3 linked regions of the Sus scrofa genome follow. The protein of the gene in region 1 purifies or fractionates together with the protein of each later gene. This does not show direct contact. Links are inferred from orthologs where the notes say so. Each region holds a gene or a part of one and is shown in the gene's direction. Other genes may lie near its edges. The genes, in order: SKP1, CRY2 and FBXO33.

Region 1 (7,129 bases):
TTTTATTTATTTATTTATTTATTTATTTATTGTCTTTTTGCCATTTCTTGGGCCACACCCACGGCATATGGAGGTTCCCAGGCTAGGGGTCAAATCGGAACTGTAGCTGCTGGCCTACGCCAGAGCCACAGCAACGCAGGATCGGAGCCGCGTCTGCAACCTACACCACAGCTCACGGCAACGCCGGATCCTTAATCCACTGAGCAAGGCCAGGGATAAAACCCGCAACCTCATGGTTTCTAGTCGGATTTGTTAACCACCAAGCCACGACGGGAACTCCTGAAATCTGCATTTTAAAAACTAGAATCCTGGCAGTTCCCGTTGTGGCTCAGCAGGTTAAGAGCATGACTAGTATCCATGAGGATGCCCGTTTGATCCCTGGTCTCACTCAGTGGGTTAAGGATTCAGCACTGCAGCAAGTTGCAGCATAGGTTGCAGACGCAGCTCTGATCCAATACTTCTGTGGCTGTGCCGAAGGCCTCAGCTGTATCTCATATTCAACCCCTAGCCTGGGAACTTCCATATGCTGCAGGTGTAGCCATTAAAAGAAAAAGCAGCCAAAAAAAGCCACCCAAGAATATCTCGGTGATTCTAATATTAGGGGCCCCCAGACATTTTGGAAAAAACATACACCTTCCTAATGCCAGGCCCTGTGCCAGATCCTCCAGCTAGACGTGTAATCTGGCACTGCCCAGTCCTGCTTAGGATGCTCAACTAGGCTACAAGGTGGCCCTTATATGCCACAGGCAGGGGAGCAAAGGGGATCTAGTGGGCCTTAACTAAGAGACCAGAAGCTGGAGCTGCTTAGGGCAGGGCAGGCTTGTGGAGAAAAAGTCTGAGAGCTGTAGGTCCTTTCATCTTCCCGACATCAGCTGTGGCACCTGGCAGACACTGGATACCACAGCTTGGAGACAAAGACCTGGTAACCCAAGGAGCTGCTTGGTCTCCCTGCCCAGTCCCATCTCAGAAGAGCTGCAGGCTTCTGATTTCTTTAGGGGGCCCTGTGTGGAAGTGTCCTTTGTCTCCTTGGCGTCAGGAATACCATCACGTGCCTGCTGGTTAGGTGAGCCTGGCGCCTTAGTCTCCTCCAGAGGGGTGGCATTGTTCTCTAAACAGAGCAGGGTAGAGCAGGTCAAAGTCCCTGACTGGAGAGGGTGGGAGTGGGAATTTGCAGACTAACCCCTTTCCCTTGAGGGTTGGTTTCATCTTAGGGACCCTAACACAGCCTTTAGGGAGCATCCCACACAAGGGCTCTCTGCAGGCTGGACTCTGGCTGCCTCGTTCGCTGCCGAATTCCTAGCACCCATCACCTCGCCCTCCCCCCACCCAATACACTTTTGCTAACTTGGGGTTTCCCTGAAACAGTGGTTACTTTGGATTGGAGGCCTCTTCAGAAGTCGATAGGAAATCAGAGTTGAGAGTATCAAACAATCCTTGCTCTGCCACTGAACCGTTTTGAACCTGTTCCCTCACAAGTCAAAGAGAAAAGGGTAATGGTATTTCTTCTTCTTTTTTTTTTTTTGTCTTTTTGTCTTTCTAGGGCCGCACCCAAGGCATACGGAGGTTCCCTGGCTAGGGGTCGAATCGGAGCTGTAGCCACCGGCCTACACCAGAGCCACAACGTGGGATCCGAGTCGCGACTGTGACCTACACCACAGCTCATGGCCACTCCAAATCCTTAACCCACTGAGCGAGGCCAGGGATCGAACCCGAAACCTCATGGTTTCTAGTCGGATTCGTTAACCACTGAGCCACGAGGGGAACTCCTGATATTTCTTCTTATGCATTATTGTGGAGAGTGAGCTAACTCATGTAGGGTTCAGGGGAGGACACTGAGGCCCTGAGCAAAATCTCACAGCGCTGGCTGCAAAGATCAGCGCCCTTTCTTTCTCAGAGTCCCAGTTTCCCCATCATGAAAAGGAGCTGCAGCCCCTCCCAAACACCACCCCTAACACAGACGCCTCTCCCTCCCCACTCCGCCCCTCTCTCCCCGCTACTCCCCGCGCTCTCCCTCCCGGCCCCTCGCTCCAGGTTTCTAGGCTTTTCGGGACTGGGGTCTTTAATTCGACTTAGGCCAGCTCCCGCCTGAAAGACCCTTGCAGGCCGTGGAGTATCTGAGCCAGTCCCCCGTTTCCGCTTTGAGGGGAGTGAGCGCCGCTTTCGAGGGAAGGGGTGAGACTCAAGGCCCGCCGCGCCTCGCCCCGCCGGTCTGCGCCTGCCGTCAGGCGATCTCGGCGGCCAGCCCTGCCGTCTCTGTGACGTCACGGGCCCCGGGGTCCTCGGCGCCTGCGCCCGCTGCTATAAAGGCGACGCCGCGCCACTCGGTTGAAGTCGCCTTGTGCGTCGCTTTTCTGTCTCTCCGGTTGCGGACACCGCCCTTCTCTCGTCAGCCTCCGGCCCGCCATCTCCTTGAGCCCAAACACCGTGAGTACCCGCCGCCTGAGCTGAAAGGGGGCGGTGGCGCCGCAGATTGCGAGCCGCGGGCCGCCCCGCTGCGGCTTTGGCCTTGCTCGAAACGGCAGGCACCTGGGCCTGGCCTTCCCTCAGGCCCGGTGAAAGCCGTCGTCGACCCCATTCTCCCGGAGGTGCCATTCACCTCCCACACCGCCCCTCGACTTGCCGAGGCCTCTTTTAGCCGCTAGTCTTCACCGCGCCCAGGCGGGCGGGAGGGAGAAGGTGTGAGCGGAACCGGGATTGGGCCTTCTCTGCGCGGGGCGACCCTCAGCCGTCGCGGAGCAAGGCTGCAGGCCCAGGCTGCGGCCGGGGCCTCCCTCGGCGGTTGAGCCCATCGGCCCCGGGAAGCCAGGGCGAGGGTGGTGGCGGGGCTTTTAATGGACTTCTCTGGGTCGTCGTGAGCATGGGCGTTTGTCCGTTTGTTGTTCGGGTGTCCCAGAGGAAGCGTGGTAGGGTCGTCCCGCAGCTGGATTCTTGGCTCTCAGTCTTTCTCGCCCCTGTGTCTGGCGTCACTCGTCCTGGTTAACTGCGCCGGAGCCGAATTTCGGCAGAGAGCTGCCTGCTCCTTCGGAATATTTGTCGCCCATTATTTTGCCACAGCCCGCGGTTGTTGAAGCAATTGTTGGAGTAGCAGGTGCCATCGCCACAGTGGTTTGGCTTTTAGGTGCACCAACTCCGTAAACTTACTAAGAGGTTTTCGAAGGGATAGGATGTTCACCTGCTTTGGTTTGCTTTTTAATGGAGACTAAAGGTTGGAGTTTGGGCTCATGAATGTTTTCATGAGAGCGTCACAGCAGAATGTTTGTGTGTCATAGAGCAACGCAGATTTCACTTTGCCCTATAAGAAGAAGTGTCAGAACTTCGGGTCACTTAAACAGGTTTTTTTTCTTTTATGATGTTTGATAGACCCCTCCTCCTGGAGGGTGATTTAACTCAAAAGTGCCGGCGCATACGGAATTGAAGGAATGGTCTGGAGAACATACCACATCAAAGTTTCATGGATAATTATAGAAAAGTTTTGCTCTGATTTCCAGCTGTATAACGCTAAAAAAAATTTTTTTTTGAGTATTAAGTTTAGCTTACAAAGTGCATCGAATTACAGATTAACCGATTGTTTCCCTGCTATTTATTTAGTAAGATCTCAGTTAAGAGTAACCTAATACACGAATTTGACTGTGACTAAGCAGATATGGCTGTTTATCAAAAGTTATTTGAAATATGAAATGTTCGTCTTGCTTAAAAGTAATTTTATCAACTGCATTTCCAGACTTGTGATTTTATAACGTTCACTCCAGTGTTGTGGAACAGTCATAGAGCATAGAATGTTTTGTAATTTAAAATTGAGCTCATGTTAAAGTATTTCTTTAGGGGGATATCTTTTGCTTTTGCCTTGTCGCAAGGAAGGTCCTCTGCTCTGGGCGTTTCTTCATGGAGCAGGACAACTGCATTATTGGCAGGCACTGAGTAATATGGAGAAGCAGACATTTGTGAACTGAAAAGTGAAATCTGATTCTCTGCAACCATGGATGAGTGTGAGCTGGATATTTCAATGGCTGGTTTTAAAACAGCTTTACCTTTTTGCTTCCTTGCCCTAACACCTTTGTCTCTTTGGGGAATGGAGACAGTTGTGTGGGAAAAGCTGAATATTGTAACCGATTTAACGGGTCCTAAGTGTTGGGGCCTAAAATAGGTGCAGTCAGTGTTTTGAATGCCAAATTCTGTATTTTTAAGTTAGAGTGATATCAGAGTATTATTACGAACATCTCAGATGCACGGGCCTTTTAAAAACCTGTTACAGAAACTTAAAGAGATCTTGAGTTTTTACAGTCAGGTGTTGCTGCCGCCCACCCCCCATGCCTCTCCCCCAAGAATCTGAAGACGGTAAGAAATTGCTGGCTTAGAAGCTTAGAACTTTTAATTCTAAAGAGGTTTTGTTTTGTTTTTGCCAAAACTCAAGTCCTTTGAAGTTAAATGCTTAATTAACTTTTATGTAAGAAGTGTCTTTTTCCTAATGACTCATAATCAGTGTGAGTTAATAAATTCATTTTGGCGGCAAGTAAAAGGCTGTTATTACTATGAGGATTTTGGCATTCGATCTCAAACTTGGGACGCCTAGACAGTCAGTAAAGAAAGATAAACAGGACTCTGAAACTATAGGTTTAGGGCATTAGGTCAACATCTGCTTATCCTTAGATATTTCATTCTCTTCTCTATGGCCTTGCTTTCATCCAAACATAAGTAAGTATATTCTAATCTACTCTTTAGATCTGAACTCACTTTTTACTGATAAGTTTCACTGTGGGAAAATTAATATCTTATTTGGTAGCTTTGTTTATTTTGGACTGACCTCCCTCAGGTGAAAGGAGAAAGGCAGGCAAAGAGTAAAAAAGCATTTTAGATATATTTTGCATTAGAAATATAAGTGTGAGTTTTAAAATTTATACCAGTAATGAGTGCAGAAGGGTAGGCCTTAAAAGTTTCTGTTCCTAGGAGTTATATATACTTTTGAAAAAATTTTATAGAAATACTTGTATAAAATTGCCTTATAATCATTTACAGTGTTTTATACTATACTACAGGTCGTTAAGATTTTGTAGTTAATAAGTTAGAAGGCTTAGACATTTAATGGTGAAATGCAGTGTAGAAGTAATATCTCTTAAATTTCAAATTCAATATAATACCTTTTTTTAGATGCCTTCAATTAAGTTGCAGAGTTCCGATGGCGAGATATTTGAAGTTGATGTTGAAATTGCCAAACAGTCTGTGACTATCAAGACCATGTTGGAAGGTAAGTTAATTAGAAAACCTGGGTCACGGTAAAGGGAAGAAATATGTAGCTTAAGATAACCTGTGAACATCGAATCTATAGACATAAAAATCCATCATAAAATGCTGAAGAGTATGAAGGGTAAAATTTGTGTCTTTTTTTCTTCCAAAGTTTAACTGCATTTTTCTGATACAAGTCTTTTTTTTTTTTCTACATTGTCTGAATTTCTTTTATTAAGTAGGTAACACCGTAAGCTAACATTGAAATGGTTTTCAAGCCTCAGATAGTGGCTCATTTCTCTTTCAAGTAGGTTTGGATTCACAATTTCTAATGACACAAACTAAAGCCTTTGGAAAAGAGATACCTTACATATGATAGCTAAGTAGAGCAGCACTTTGTTTAAGCAGAGGGAGTAAGCTGAGTAGATTGTAAACTGAGTAGATGTCTTTTTTCCCTTTTGGCTATTCTTTTGAAACTGCTGCAAAACATATATGCAGTACATCAAAGAATTAAGGCAAGAAAATAGGTCCTGAAACATTTTAAACTTTTACTAGTTAACATAGATTTCCTAGAATTATTGTAGGCTGGTAAACATTGATGGTATATAGAGACACACAAATCACTTTCTAGAATTGGAGGAAAAAAACTTAATAGTTATTGGGGGAGTTTCCCTCATGGCTCAGCGGAAATGAATCTGACTAGTATCCACAAAGATGCGGGTTTGATCCCTGGCCTTGCTCAGTGGGTTAAGGATCTCATATTGCTGTGGCTGTGGTGTAGGCCAGCAGCTGTAGCTCTGATTTGACCCCTGGCTTGGGCACCTCCAAATGCTGTGGGTCTAAAAAAACTCAAAAAAAAAAAGTTCTTCGGTACTGTTGTCTCCATATCTGCATAGGATTGGTTCCGGGATACAAAATCCGTGGGTATTCAAATCCCTGATCCCAAATACTACATCCCAAATGCCATATTTGCAAATAATCTCCATAATCCTCCCTTATACTTGAATTTATCTCTGGATTACTTATACCTCATAAGACTCTAAATGCTGGAGTTCCCGTCGTGGCTCAGTGGTTAACAATCCGACTAGGAACCATGAGGTTGCGAATTCGGTCCCTTCCCTCGCTCAGTGGGTTAACGGTCCGGCGTTGCCGTGAACTGTGGTGTAGGTTGCAGACGCGACTCGGATCCCGTGTTGCTGTGGCTCTGGCGTAGGCCAGCAGCTACAGCTCTAATTGGACCCCTAGCCTGGGAACCTCCATATGCCGCGGGAGTGGCCCAAGAAATGGCAAAAAGACAGAAAAAAAAAAGATTGTAAATGCTATGTAAATAGTTGCCTGTGTGTGTGGAAAATTCAGGTTTTGCTTTTTCTAACTTTCTGTAATTTTTTAAGTTTTTTTTTTCTTGCTTTTTAGGGCTGCACCCGCCGGCATAAGGAGGTTTCCAGGCTAGGGGTCCAATAGGAGCTGTAGCTGCTGGCCTACACCACAGCCACAGCCACGCCAGAACAGAGCTGCATCTGTGACCTACACCACAGCTCATGGCAACGACGGATTCTCCCACTGATCGAGGCCAGGGATCGAACCCGCAACCTCATGGTTCCTAGTCAGATTTGTTTCCACTGCAACATGAGAACTCCAAATTTAAGTTTTTTTAAAAAATTATTTATTTTGGATGATCTGTGACATGTGGAAGTTCCTGGGCCAGGGATCGAATCTAAGTCACAGCTGCAGCAACGCTATATCCTTAACCCACTGTCTCAGTGGGAACTCCTAATTTTTATTTAATACTTTCTATCCATGGTTATTTGAATCTGAGAATGCAGGACCTGCAGATACAGAGGGCTGAATGTACTCAAATATCAAAAGGTTTTGTGTATCTACAGCTTATAAAAATAAAGTGCAGAGTTAC
Region 2 (7,129 bases), about 120 Mb from region 1:
ACAGAGAGCTCAATTAGTTTATCCAAGGTCACACAGGTAAAAGCAGGACCAGACTTTGAACACAGCCACTCCAAATATGCAAGACCTTAGGCTTAATCATTATACCACACTGCCGCTCAAAATAGCCTAATAAGATAGAAAGAGATAAATGACAACCATTCAGCAAATATTTATTAAGCATCTACTACATGTCAGGTACCAAACTAGGGGCTGGGAATACACTGATGAGCAAGATAAACACAGTCTCTGCCCTCATGGAGTTCAAGGTCTATAGAGAAAGCATCATGGGCATTCAGAGAAGAAAAAGAGAATATGCATCTTTGAGGTTGTAAGGAAGAACCATCTCCTTCCACTCTCTGTTCCATTCCCAGTGATAGGGATGGAGTAGGCTAGTTACACAGGTAGTTGTCGAAGTCCCATAGGGGACCGCAGATAGAGAGGGAAACCTAGGGGACTTTGGGAGACCACTGTTAGTTAATCATCGCTCAAGAAAGCCGTCAGAACACCATGGAACAAAGCAGGCTTGCTTCACGATAAAACATACATACAAACATGTGATATGGCTCCAAAACCATACATACAAATATGTGATATGGCTCCAGTCATTAAGTGAAAGATAAAATGAGGTCCGCGTTCAAGTTCAGCAAGCTCATGATCCGTAGGACCAAGGACAGGAATTTAAGGGAAAGATGAGATTTCAAAGCAGGAGACCCTCATTATGCAGAAACCAGAGATGATTCAACATATTTTAGCATCTGTTACCACCCTTCTGCTGATGTGAAGAAAAATCAGCACCATGAAAGTCCTCGTGTGACCTCATAGGGTCAAACACTCTCTTACCCAATAGGAAGGAGGAGCTATGACGTAAGCCTGACGTCTACCTGAAGAATGAGGAAGAAGCGCATTTCCCCTCTCCCTCCACTTTCCTTGGATTATAAAAATATAGCCCATCTAATCCTCGGGGCTGAGCCTCCTCACCTGCCCACTTGTATCCCTCACAAGTGTCCTATCTCAATAAAGCTATTTCTTACCTATCCATTTGTCTCACAGAAATCCTTCTGCACTGAGGCACAAAGAACCTGAGTCTCACTAAGTCTAGATACCAGGTCAGTGGTTCTAATTTTTTTTGAAAAAGTGGGTTCAAGTTCCAATCTGGGTTTAGGCTGGATTCCAGTCAGAGGTGTTTGGGTTTCTTTTGGAGAGAGTATTCAAAACTAAGAACAGGATCAGGACTGAGATAGGCCATTAAAGTTCCTGCCAACCTGAGATTCTAGCCCCTGTTCAATTTTTACCCAAATGATCCTTGAACATTAAGGGTCAAGCACTGAGCTAGACCCTGGAAATACAGCTGTAGACAAGCCACAGTCCTAGCCCTCCAGGGTGTTTTAATCTAATGAGGCAGACAGACAGATAAGAAATTCCACTACCATACATTAAGGTCAGTGTTAATAAGAAGCAGTTCCCTGGTGGCTGAGCGGGTAAGATCTGGCGTCACTGGTGTGGCTCTGGTTATTGCTGTGGCGTGGGTTTGACCCCTGGCCTGGGAACTTCCGTATAAACAAAAATAATTTTAAGAAATTAAGAAGCACAGAATGAGATGGGGCACTATGAAGGCTGGGAGCAGACAGCAAGTGACATCTACACTGAGCAGTGACATAGGACAAACTGAAGTTAGAAGGTGTGTGGGGGGGGTGTTCAGGGTGTGATCCAGGTTGGAGGGAACAGTTTGTGCAAAGCCCTGGCAATGAGAGCGCCTAGGATTGTAACAACACTGTGGTTTAGACAGTTGTGCCAATTAGTGCCACTCACTTGCGGATTAAATTGCTAACTTCCTTCATTGCTCATTCCCAAATTCAGGAAGGGTGCCACCTAGAGCCAAATTGAGACGGCCTCTCCATTTGATAATGCCAAAGCTCCAGGCTAGCTTAGCCCACCATCAACACATCAGTGGGGGTGTTTACAGGCTTCTCCTATCATTCACTCATTCAGTCAATCAGCAAGCCCTGTGCTCGACTCCAGAAGAGGGCTCCACCTGGCTCTCTTGGGGACGCGTGGGGAATATCCTCCACATCTCTGAACCCCACACAGACTCCAGTTCAGTCCTTTACACTCAGAGTTACCCCTAAGTCTATGACAGAACTAAAAGAAAAATTCATGTGATGGCTTTTTTTTTTCCCTCTTGCTTTTTAGAGCATATCTGCAGAGTTTGGAGGTTCCCAGGCTAGGAGCTGAATCGGATCTACTGCTAGCCACAGCAACTCAGGATCTGAGCCGCGTCTGCAGCCTACATCACAGTTCACAGCAACACCAGATCTTAACCCACTGAGCAAGCCCAGGGATCAAACCCTCATCCTCTTGGATACTAGTCGGGTTCATTACCGCTGAGCCACAAACTGGGAATTCCAATGATGACCTAATTACAATCTCAACCCACATTCTCCACAATTCCAGTCCCTAATCCCAACCCCTCTACTGCAGCACATCAGGGCCCACACTTTGGACTCTACTACTTGTAAATGCCAAGTTGCTCAACGCTGACAGAGGTGTAGTATTGTGGATAAAAGCAGAAACTTCAGATTCTGAATAATCCTGGTAGAAGTATTAGCTGTATGATATTGAGCATGTTACTCAACCTGCAGCAGCCTCGGTTTTCTTTGTCGGTAAAATGAAAACAGCTCTTTCACTAGGGTTTGTTGAAAGAATGCAACTCGTCTGAGTTTACAGCAGTAAAGGAGACAGCAGCGTAAGGGTATTATCACGTTGGTTGGCATCTAATGGAAGCTGTATTAGAATGCTGTAATGATGTATGTATAGAGTGTGGTAGATGATTATATTGATGACGAAGATGATGTAGGACAGCCGGTGGTCTGTCCTTTTAAGTCATTTGCTGGAGTCACAGCAACCCTCGCCAGCCCACACAGCTTCCAGCGCCAGGCCCTAAAAAAGGAAGCTGAGCTCCGCCGTTCCTCGGACTTGGTCCACGCCCAGACCTCCTTGGGGACCGCCAGCCTGCGTCACTAGCCCAGCCCTCCGGCTCCTCCCGGCAGGGCCCACACATGGTGGGAACGTGAGGAGGCGGGGCCAGACATGGTGCCTCTAACCAATCGCCCGGCAGGAGGCGCCCAGCCAATAGCAGAGGCGCTCCAGGGCCTGAGGGCGGGGCTCCAAAGAGTAGCGGCGCGTCATAGGTCACTGGGCCAGCTGGGGGCCGGGCTCGCGGCGCCGACGGGGGCGGAGCGGCCGCAGTCAGAGCAGTCCAGGCAATGATGGCGGCGGCTGTGGCGACCGCTGCGGCGTCCTCCCCGGCTCCCGCTGCCGGCGCGGAAGGCGCCTCTTCGGTGCACTGGTTCCGCAAGGGGCTGCGGCTCCACGACAACCCGGCGCTGCTGGCGGCGGTTCGCGGGGCGCACTGCGTGCGCTGTGTTTACATCCTCGACCCTTGGTTCGCGGCCTCCTCTTCAGTCGGGATCAACCGGTGGAGGTGAGGGGGCCCCGGGCGGGTTTGCGGGTCCGGGGAGCGCAGTCTAGCCTCTGAGGCACGTACCCTAAGAGGGGGGAGGCTCTGGCCCCAGTCCCCTCTGCTGAAAGCCCCCGACCTGAAAGAGATGGGGCAGGGAGGCGCAGCTGAGTCTCCAGTGGGGAGAAGCCGCGACGTGGGTAGCAATTAGTCCCATAGTTAGGGCTTGGGTGGGCCAGGGCTCAACCTCTGGCACGGCGCGTTCTCACTGTGTTATCCCTTTTGGTCCTCACGACGTCCCCGTGAAACAAAAATCATGATCCTCATTGTACCGATGAGACTCTGGAGTCTTAGAGATACAAAGTTGACCTGCCCAAGGACTTGCAGCCGGCGAGTGGCAGAACAGGGACTCCTGGTCTAGGGTTCTTAGGGTTGTGCTCAGGGAGGGGAGGACGGGAGCTATTGCGGTATGAGGGCCGGGACAGGTTTCTGAAATAGCACGGCAGACACCTGCATTCTTCAAGAGCGCTCCTGAAGGTCGTCTTAAGCTTAAGCCTCTGGTTTGTGTGAATTCATTTTTTCACCTATCCTGTCTTCCTTCCACCAAGATCATCCAGTCTCTGGAGGTGTCTAGAGACTCTGACTTAGCATTAGGTAGGGCAGGTGCCTTTGCTCCTTTATTGTAAATAAAAGAACATGCTCTCAAGGGCACGTTCATTGAGAGGCACTCTGTGTCCTGGGCTAGAGAGCAGACAGCAGTACTTAACCTATTTTGGAGAATTCCCTCAGCAGCTATGGGCTTGCTAAGGAAAAAAGCAGGAGGGGGGAGGAAGAAGAAAAAGAAACAAAGAGTCCCTTACTTCCTCCTCTTCTCTTGAGATTGATTTTAAAGGACAGTTGAGCCTGTAGATTAGACTCTTGTCAGCTGATGTGCTAAGATTTGGGAGCAGGCAAGCTGTGATACCAAGGGGCCCTCTTTGATGACTCCCAGGATCATGGGAAAAGTTTAACAGGTAGTTGATGTGTTTTCTCCATAACCAGTGTTTAAAACAAAGGTGTTCTGAGACATTGTGTACCCGTCTCTCTTTAACAAGTCTGGCAGTCGTCCTCTAGTTTGTTTGCATTGTTCTGGAGGTGTTTGCTTGTGGCCTTGTTGCACTGAGGGGCAGAGTTATTCCCAGGATACGCTGGCTCCCCATTCTTTCCTCTCCAAGGTGTGTGCCCTGCTAGGAGAGTGAGTGCTTCTAGCAGTGGGTCTATTAAATGCCCCCCTCCTGCCCCATTTATATGGAGGGAACAGCTAAAGATAGTTCTGTGGAGAGCCTGCCCACACAGTTTTCAGTCTGCTCTATTACTCGGCCCTTGCTCCAGTTTCTCTAGATAGGAGGTTGGGCTGACAAACATCCTCAAATGACCAGCCATCCCTAGTGTGGACTTAGCTTGGACTAAGCCTCAGACTTTGCCCCTCTCCTGATGGCAGTGTGCCAGTCAGAGCAGAGTAATTAGACTCCAGACTACTTGTTTGTTACATTGTCAAGGAGTTTCTTCTTTTATGGGATTTGAGGAATGTGGCATAAAATTGCCTGTTCCTTTGCAGTAGTGGAGATTAAAAATCAACAACAGGTGGTCCCATTGTGGCTCGGTGGTTAAGGATCCCTGGCTTCGCTCAGTGGGTTGAGGATCCAGCATTGCCGTCAGCTGTGGTGTAGGTCACAGATGCGGCTCGGATCTGGCATTGCTGTGGCTATGGCTTAGGCTGGCAGTTACAGCTCCTATTTGACCCCTAGCCTGGGAACCTCCAAATGCCGCAAGCGTGGCCCTAAAAAGACAAAAAAAAAAAAACCAACAACAAAACCTCTGTTGCTTATTAAACTCAGATTCTCTAGAAACTAGGTATTTAGAGATTTTTGTGGGTCACCCTTTTGTAATTGTGCTGTTGAGTGAGTAAAAGAAAAAGAATGTGGCAGCTCAGATGCCTATATCAAATCCTGAAGTCAGAGGCTGTGTAGGAATGCAGATGTTAATTGAGCGTTTAATGAGCACCTAATATCTGCCAGGCACTACTCTAGGGGCTGCTAGGAGCACAGCAGGGAACAAGCAGATGTGTCCAGAGCTCCTGGAGCTTACATTTTCATGTAGGAAGACAAGCAAACAGCTATAACTTGGTAGAACTAAGTGCTGTGAAATAAATAAAATCGGGGACAGACTGTAGCAATGGGTGTCAACCTTGCCACGCGTGAGAATCATTTAAGTATCTTTAAAAGATGGCTGGGCCCACTTCTCTCCCAATTCTGATTTCATTGACTTGGGTACTAGGGTCTTTAAAGCTGTCATGTGCAGCAAAGCCAGAGAAGTGGACCACAGAGTCCGGCAACTTGGGATATGTGTTGCAGTGCATTGGCAGGAAGTCTGATTGGTTTTGGTATCAGAAGAAAGAGGTGAAATAACACAAAGCAGATTGAATACAATAAATGCTCCTGGGCCTGGGCACAGACACACACCTACCACCGCCTCTATACTCTTTGCTCTCAGAATCAGAGTGAGGGCATACCTGCAGACTGTTTATTTTTAGAGCTGCACCCTAGGCATATGGAGGTTCCCAGACTAGGGGTCGAATTGGAGCTGTTGCTACCAGCCTACGCCACAGCCACAGCAACGCCAGATCCTTAACCCACTGATCGAGGCCGGGGATCAAACCCACAACCTCATGATTCCTAGTTGTATTCATTTCTGCTGCACCACGATGGGAGCTCCTCCAGATTTGCAGACTGTTTAATGCACTCGGTTGGGGGTTGGTAGGAGTGATGGAGCCAGCTCTACCTCTGGGTTAACTACGATATGTGCAGTCTTCCTGTTTCTGGATCTGGAAGTGATCTAGGAGAATTGTGCTGCAGCGTAACGTCCTAGCTCTGCAAATACTTCAGTTGCTGCCTCTGAGAAGCCTCCCTCAGAAGAGTGGGCCCTGGGCCATCTGGAAGGGTGGGGGGAATCAGAATCTGTATCTCTGTTATCCTCCTCATTTCCTGTACTGACTCCCACACAGCGTTTTTCAGCAGATGAATCAGATTAAAATAACCATGAATGGCACTTTCTAAGAGTAAAAGTGGACAGAGAAAGGCGACCAAGAATATGTATGTGTATTAGCATAGGAGAAGGGCTAGCATACTCCTTGCGTTGGTGGTAGTGGGAACTTTATAAGCTAATCGTAGTGATAGGAACCTCAGGACTTTTTTTGGTCAAGTGCTAGTTAGCTAATCCCTTTGCCATTTTCCCCAGCTCTACCCTCCCAAAATTTACTGCATCTGAAAGGAAGTATTGCAGTGAGAACAAAAAAATGGAAAAGAGGGGAGGGGGTTTCGAGCTACTTCTAGATTTAAAAAGGGCTACCCAAAATAATCCCTTGCAGTTTTTCATTACCTTTCTCTCCCTGCTGCAACCTAGATATTGTCGGCAACGATTCACTTCGCCCTTTTCTCCCTAGCTCTGGGCTGCACCCGTGTTCAGGAGCTTCTGGGACAGAGGGAGTTGGTAGAAAGAACGTATCAGCCCAGATCTCTCAGGATTAATAAGTAAGGTGACCTGGGGACTCCCCATGACGCCTGGTGAGAAGAAGTGTGTCTCTCCTCCCAGCGCTGGGAGCTAAACACTGTTGGGCTGTTCTTGCTGAAACTC
Region 3 (7,129 bases), on another chromosome or scaffold:
ATAATAAAATTATGATTCAGGCAAGAATTATCAATTATTGTTAAGGCTATTAAGTGAATCATTGATGGAGGAGTTGGACATTTGTAGAAAATAACATCTCACAGATTACTTAGAGAAAAACAAAACACAAAACTTTATAAGGAGGGAGATCAAGATGTCACCAACCTAATCAAGCCTTTAACATTAATATGTAGGTTTATTAGAAATTCAGGGACTAGAGTAGTAAGCTAAACACCAAGAGAAAGTAGCCAAACAATTACAGATGGGAGATATTCTACAGCACAATAAGCCTCCTGTAATTAACTAATCAGAGAGACCCCAAAAATGAGTGCTGGGAAGAGGGTGACTATTCTAGATTAAAAGAAGCTTTAAATACAAACTAAAACAAGTGTGGCCCTTACTTGGATCCTGATTTGGATATTAGTTGGGATCCTTACTGCTGAGCCTCGAAGGGGAACTTCCTTTTTTTTGGGGGGGGGGTTGTCTTTTTAGAGCAGCATCCATGGCATATATAAGTTCCAGCCTAGGGGTCAAATCGGAGCTGTAGCTGCCGGCCTATGCAACCGGATCTTGGTTTGGATAAAACATCTATAACAAACATTTGGAAAATAACTAGATAAACTTGAAGATGGGTTATTAGACAACAGAAGTTTTTCAAGTGTGATAGTTTTGTTATGTAATAATACGCTTTTAAAGAGATGCACACTTAATTACTATTAAGTGGGAAATCTAGATGTCCATGGGTCACTCAAAATATTTCAATGATGGAGATCCCATGGAGGTGCAGCAGAAACGAATCCCACTAGGAACCATGAGGTTGCCGGTTCCATCCCTGGCCTCGCTCAGTGGGTTAAGGATCCAGGGCTGCCGTGAGCTGTGGTGTAGGCCGGCAGCTACAGCTCCAACTGGACCCCTAGCCTGGGAACCTCCATATGCCGCGGGTGCGGGCCTAAAAAGACAAGCCCCCCCCCCAAAAAATGAATGCTTTTAAAAAATAAAAAATTTAAATCCAAGCCTCAACTTCCTAATTCACTGCTGTTTCCATTAATGCTCATTAATCCATTCATAAGATATAATAATAACTGCATAGAAAAATCTCTTACAGACAAGAGGTTCAGAGAAGTGACCTACCATGAATGATAGCTTCCCCCCCCCCACAGGTACCGAAATGAAGATAACTGAGGTACCAACACAATATTATTGGTAACGGGCCTGTGCTAGGCATCAAAAGGCATGGAAGCATTATGAATGGAGAGTTTTGCCCTCAGAGGGCTAAAAATATCCAGGAGAACAGCTTCTGAGAGTTAGCCACAAATAAACACGGCTGTTCCAAGACCCTAGTTAAGGCTTTGAAGCGGCAGCCTCATTAAAGCGATCCTCAATTATTACATAAAATCGCTTATTTCTTTCTGACTTCACTGCTCCTTACAGTCAGTTAACTAACTACTTCCCGAGTTGTGATAAAGTTAGGACACTCTTTCGAAAAATCCCTCCCTCAAAAACCGGGCGCCGAGCTAAAGAAAACCTTTACCATAACAACAAACTTCTTTACAATTAGAGCCCCCAAACCTGGAACTCAGTCTCCCTCAATCTCTGGATAAGAGACTAATTATCAACCAACAGATCTAACCCATTTGCCCTTTTTTTTTCTCTTCTCCCTCAAAATCCAAAGGGTGGCGCTGTCCTCACTCCTTCCCCTCGCACCCAGGTGTGCGCTACTGTCCACTCCGAGGTCTGACCACGAGGGAAGGTCCGCTTGCGGCCTGTGTCCAGCCTCCCCTCCCCGCGCTTCTCCTCTCCTCACCCAGCCCCTCGGGTTAGCCCGCGAGGGCGCCGGTCCTGCTGCCTTAGCGGCTTTTTCTCAGAAACTCCCAACAATTCTCTGCGGGGGAGGGGGGAGGGGAGGTTAGGCTGAAAAAGACCCAAGCCGGCACTTTGGCTCTGAGTCCTCAGCCCAGCAACAGGAAAACGTATAATGAGAAGCGTCACCGCCCGCTTACGCTAACGCGAGTTCCGCCACTTACACTGCCTGAGCGCCCCAGTTAACCGACTTACAAACAAGACGGGACTCGGCGGTCTCTGTGAGACGGGAGGGGGCGCCCAACACCGGCACCACCAGCGCTTCCCCACCCCCGTCCCGACAGCCTGCGTGCGTCAGGAGTCACGTGCCGCGTCTCCCTTTCCTACCGGCAACCGGGCGCTCCCTTCTTCCGGAAGTAGCTCCGGATCACGCCGGGCTCCTCCCACCACTGGTGACGTCAAACTCAGGTCCTACCACTGCTCTGCCTCCGCCTCCAGGCGCGGGGAGGGCTGCCGTTTCCTTACAATTAGTCCTGCCGCTTCCGGGCCCCTAACCAGTAAAAGCAAGGATTTTGAAGTTCCTGAGTGTGTAGGCCTCGGACGCGCGTGAGTAAAGTTTGAGAGGCCACAGGCTGGCTGTCTGGAGGCCAACCCCGCAGAGGCCTTTCCCCCTCTCCGCAACTTGTGCTGTACTTGGTTCCGCCGAGACCTACGACGGTTCCGCCCCCTTCTTCCTTGTCATTGATGTTGTTGTTCTTGTCAGTGCCGCAGCCCCGACCACCGGGAGCCGGAACCCGAGCAGGGGCCGCCCGGGTGGCGCGGTGGCGGCGGCGGCGGCTGCGGCTGCAGCAGCTGCGACGGCTGCGGGGGCTGCTCCGGGGATTGCGGAGGCGGCCGGGGACCGGCAGCCGGCGGCGGGGCCGGATGGCTCTGTGCGGGCAGGCGGCAGGCGCTGCGTCGCTGCCCAGCGAGCTGATCGTGCACATCTTCTCCTTCCTGTCCGCCTCCGACCGGCTACGGGCCTCGGCCTCCTGCTCGCACTGGCGCGAGTGCCTCTTCTATCCTGCTCTCTGGCCCCAGCTCCGCATCTGCCTCCGCGTCTCGCCTGCGGAGCAGCCACGGCTCGAATTCCTCATGCGCAAGTGCGGCTGGTTCGTGCGAGAGCTGCGCGTTGAGTTCGCCGCGGAGAATTACCTGAGCGGCGGCGGCGGCCCGGGCGATGGAGGCAGCGCCGACACCGGGACTGGCGGGGAAGAAGTCGAAGCCCTGCAGCTCTCATCCCGTTGGCTAGAAGTGTTGCGCACCTACTTAGAGCTGGTGCTGTGCGTGCTGGTCAGCATCCGGAACAACAGGTAGGCTCGTCGTGGACCCTGCATTCATCCTCTTCTCCCGCTTCCTCCTCTCCCGGGGAGCAGGATGGCCTTCTTCCTCTCACCTCAAAATAGATTCTGTGCGGATACTCCCGGCCCGCTTCAGCGTTGCTTTTTTCAGTGATTAGGGGTTTCAGTTTTAATCCAGCGATTTCCTTGAGGCGGGAGGGCATAACGGGATTATCGTAATACTTTATAAACAGTGATGGATTTGGTGTTTATCAGACAGCATTCCTGGCACCTTCCAAGCCCTGTCTCATTCGTACTTTCGTTGGCAATGGGATGGAGTTCATTTTACAGATGAGAGCTGAAGCTTGGAGGGTGAGGCCTGTGAGTGAGTCTTGGGAGAAACAAAATCCTACCTGATTTTTTCAGTTCTGAATCTATCCATTCAAAATAGTTCGTGGTGGGGAAGGACTAGCTATGCTACTGGTTTCTCATAGTTACTAGACTGTACCCCCCCAAAAAATCTTTGACAGCCATTTTCTTACTGGGAATAGTTTTGATTAACTAGGCCAGGCATGAAGAGTAGGAGTGTTTGTTAAAAGGATTGGGGAACAGCCTGATAATGAAGATTGGGAAGTCCCTCCCCTTTGCACCTCCAGACTCAACTTATCCCTAGTTATTCACCTAAAAGTAGCACAGTATATATAGCTTGGTGTTTGCATGAGTTGGGGGAACTGGCCTGTGTCTATAAAGAGTAAGCCCTTAGCGGCCTAGTTTTTCATTAGAATTCTACTGTAATTCTGAGACTAACTTGATATGTTCTGACCCATTGTCCTAATCAATATTTTCCATTATTTGTCTATCACCGTCTCCAAAATACTGTTAATTTAGATGTTCTGTATCTGGGTATTCTAACTTTATAATTAAAGTATGAGTTAGAAGAAAATTCAAAAGTTCTAAGAAGGAGCAACTTACATAATAATAATTTAGTAGTTTGTGAGTACTTTCACATTCACTATCTTATTTGCTCCTTTCAATGACCCTGTGAGTTAGTCAGGATAGCTATTATTATCCCTATTTTATAGAAAAGAAACTGATGCATAACAGGGTCAATTTGTCAAATGATGTACACATTGTATACAGCATTGTTTTTCTCTAAGCAGTGGTCTTTCTTTCGCGGTAGTTACATTATGTTGAACAGGATGGAACTAAGGTCCGGGTTTAATGCTAAGTGAGATATATATATATACACATATTCTTAATTATGTTTCTGATTCAGAAGGGTAGGAGATAAGCATATGGCTCCAGACTGTATCTGGAGCATGGCTTCATCATTCCAGTGGGCTGTGTATTTTCCCAGCTTTTCACATCAAGCCATTATTTTCCTTACTTTCATTTTATGTGGCAAGAGAGGCTGTTTAAGGCTATAAATTGGTCTTGATCAGGTTGGAGACTCTTTGTCAGAGCTGAGTGATGGCTAGAGGCCCAAATGACCCAGAAGTTAGAGAGATTGATTCAGTGAGCAGTTACTGCTGAGGAGGGTGTCCAGGGAGGATGAATTCAGCAAGTATCAATTAGATTTTTTGAGATCAGATAGTTCCAAGCAATCATCTTAAAAATGTGTGCCTTTTGTCCAAGTAAGAACACGCCTTTCAAAGTGCATGTTCCTTTTAAGTGTTTTAATAACTGGTTGATTGGATGGATGAGGTTATGCAGGCAAAATAGTGGTATCTAACATCTTGGCTTTGTTGTTTAACTCTTCTCTCCTCCCCCTCCTCACCCCTACCACTTTTTTTCAGCTGTAATTGAGGTTTAATTTGCAAATAAAAGTGTGCCCATTTTTTTATTAGCATCCCGATCTACTTTTCTGTAAGGCTGCCATATAAATAATCTTTATATGCTTAGAAATAAGTTAATCTCAGCTTTATTTTTGAAAATGTCTTGAGAGTGTCTAGTAATGCTGGAAGTATTAATGTGGATGTTAAAAACATAAATGAAACTGGTTTTCTTTAAACAAATTTGAAAATGTTTTAAACCAAGTTGTTTAATAAGAGAAATCAACATTTAATATTGTTCTTTACATTTCTAAGCTAAATTTACAGTGGTTTGTTTTTTTTTTTTTGATTTTTGATTTTTACCATTTTATAAGTTGAAAGGGGGGATATGAAACCTACCAAGTCACAAGCTTTAGGCTTCGAGGCTTTGTGTTGAATTCCTTTAAATAATTCATACAGTTCAGAGCGTTATTATGTTGTGTTCCAGTTATTTTCATGTCTCTGAGGGAAAGAACTAAAACCATAACCTTGAATCATGGGACCTTTTCAAGGATACTGTTCGGAGAGGATAATTGACATTTTATTTTGCTTGATTCCTGGGTTTCATATGCACTTGTACTCTGAGAGTGGCTATAGCCACTTTATTTCAGGTGTTAGGAAGAACCAATGAGTATCAAAGAGATACAGAAATGCCTCTCAGAGGGTAAAATACAGTCCTCTAGCTTCTGATCTCCCTTCTCTACAGGTTTCTAGGATATTTACCTTCCTGACCAACAGTGAGAACAGAAATACAATAAGTACTCAATCAATTGTATTATAGGTTAAATTGGCTGAATTTCTTCTATAATGGTTCTAGAAGAAATTGTACTTAGAAGTTCAGAAACAACAAATTTATATATGCATTTTTAGGATTTAACCTAGTTGTCAAGTTGAGTGCTGCCTATTAAAATGCCATATATTAGACTCCTTAAGAAAAACGAGAGTTCATGGACAATTAGATTTACAATAAGAGCTAATAGACTCAGTCATTAAAAATAGTTAAACAGTAGACATAAGTAACATTGTCGTCATTTGGTTTATGCTTTCCTGGACTATATAAATATTTTGTTTTTTGAGGTAAAATGCTAAATTGAGAGCAGTACTTTTTTAAAAAGATGCAGGGCAGAGCTATTTTGTATCAGAGTGATTTTCTTGTTAAAATTCTGTGTATGTAGATTGACCAGTTTTATGACTGTGCCTACTTAAACACCCTCTAAGTAGTAGGAGGCATGTTAATAATTCTTAGATTTGATCTGCTGATTTGGCGCTGGTAGTGAAAGAATCTCACCTTTGTATTTTCTGAACATCGGTCTACCGAGAAGCAACAACCGATAAGGCAATTTGAAAAGACATCTTAAAATAGATTAAAAATTCTTTAGACATTTCATAGTACTGTCTAAGAAGGTAAGAAATGACCTGAAAATATTATCTCCAACCTTAGTGAGCCTTATTTTTCCCTATCAAAGGTAATAAATACATGTGACAATATCTCACTTTTGAGAGCTTTTATTTTTTGCTTTAAAAAGTTTACTTACATGGAGTTCCTGTTGTGGTGCAATGGAAACAAATACGATTAGTATCCATGAGGATATAGGTTTGATCGTGGGCCTCACTCAGTGGATCAGGAATCTAGCATTGCCTTGAACTGTAGTGTAGGTCACAGACATGGCTTGGATCCTGCGTTGCTGTGGCTGTGGCATAGACCAGCAGCTATAGCTCCAGTTTGACTCCTAGCCTGGGAATCTTCAAATGCCGCAGGTGCAACCCTGAAAAGAAGGAAAAAAAAAAAGCTCACTTACAGAATACATGTATTAAAATATATTGGGACTCCCAGAGTCTCCTGGTGGCCTAGCAGTTAAAGATCCAGCGTTGTCACTACTGTGGCCCCAGGTCACTACTGTGAGTCGGGTTCCATCCCTGGCCAGGGAACTTCCACATGCCGCAGGCATGGCCAAATAAATAAATAAAATATATTGGTACTCTGACCAGTCCACACTGCCGAAGAGATGGCTGCCTTACAAAAGAGATACCAGACCAGACTCCTGGTCTTAAAACTGACAAATTAAAATGGCTCCATAGGGATAGCTTCAAGGTCATTGAAAAGAAAGGAGACTAACCTGCTGAAGAAACTGCTCTCCTGGGATGGCTATTGAGAGGAAGGAATTAGGACTCTCTCTCGTCCATAGGTACATTCTTACA

Evidence for each region.
Region 2: the proteins of SKP1 (region 1) and CRY2 purify together in Homo sapiens (co-immunoprecipitation; 3 studies listed by BioGRID and IntAct, with this or other methods). This does not show direct contact. The link is inferred for Sus scrofa from reciprocal best matches to the Homo sapiens genes SKP1 and CRY2.
Region 3: the proteins of SKP1 (region 1) and FBXO33 purify together in Homo sapiens (affinity purification with mass spectrometry; 5 studies listed by BioGRID and IntAct, with this or other methods). This does not show direct contact. The link is inferred for Sus scrofa from reciprocal best matches to the Homo sapiens genes SKP1 and FBXO33.

Annotation. Positions count from the first base shown.
Region 1 is NC_010444.4:136,471,204-136,478,332, reverse strand, and holds the start of SKP1 (S-phase kinase-associated protein 1), read left to right. Parts: upstream 1-1,968; 5' UTR 1,969-2,424; intron 2,425-5,145; coding exon 5,146-5,242; intron 5,243-7,129. UniProt on the Homo sapiens protein: Essential component of the SCF (SKP1-CUL1-F-box protein) ubiquitin ligase complex, which mediates the ubiquitination of proteins involved in cell cycle progression, signal transduction and transcription.
Region 2 is NC_010444.4:16,616,456-16,623,584, reverse strand, and holds the start of CRY2 (cryptochrome-2), read left to right. Parts: upstream 1-3,204; 5' UTR 3,205-3,263; coding exon 3,264-3,481; intron 3,482-7,129. UniProt on the Homo sapiens protein: Transcriptional repressor which forms a core component of the circadian clock.
Region 3 is NC_010443.5:169,911,015-169,918,143, reverse strand, and holds the start of FBXO33 (F-box only protein 33), read left to right. Parts: upstream 1-2,287; 5' UTR 2,288-2,544; coding exon 2,545-3,152; intron 3,153-7,129. UniProt on the Homo sapiens protein: Substrate recognition component of a SCF (SKP1-CUL1-F-box protein) E3 ubiquitin-protein ligase complex which mediates the ubiquitination and subsequent proteasomal degradation of target proteins. Probably recognizes and binds to phosphorylated target proteins.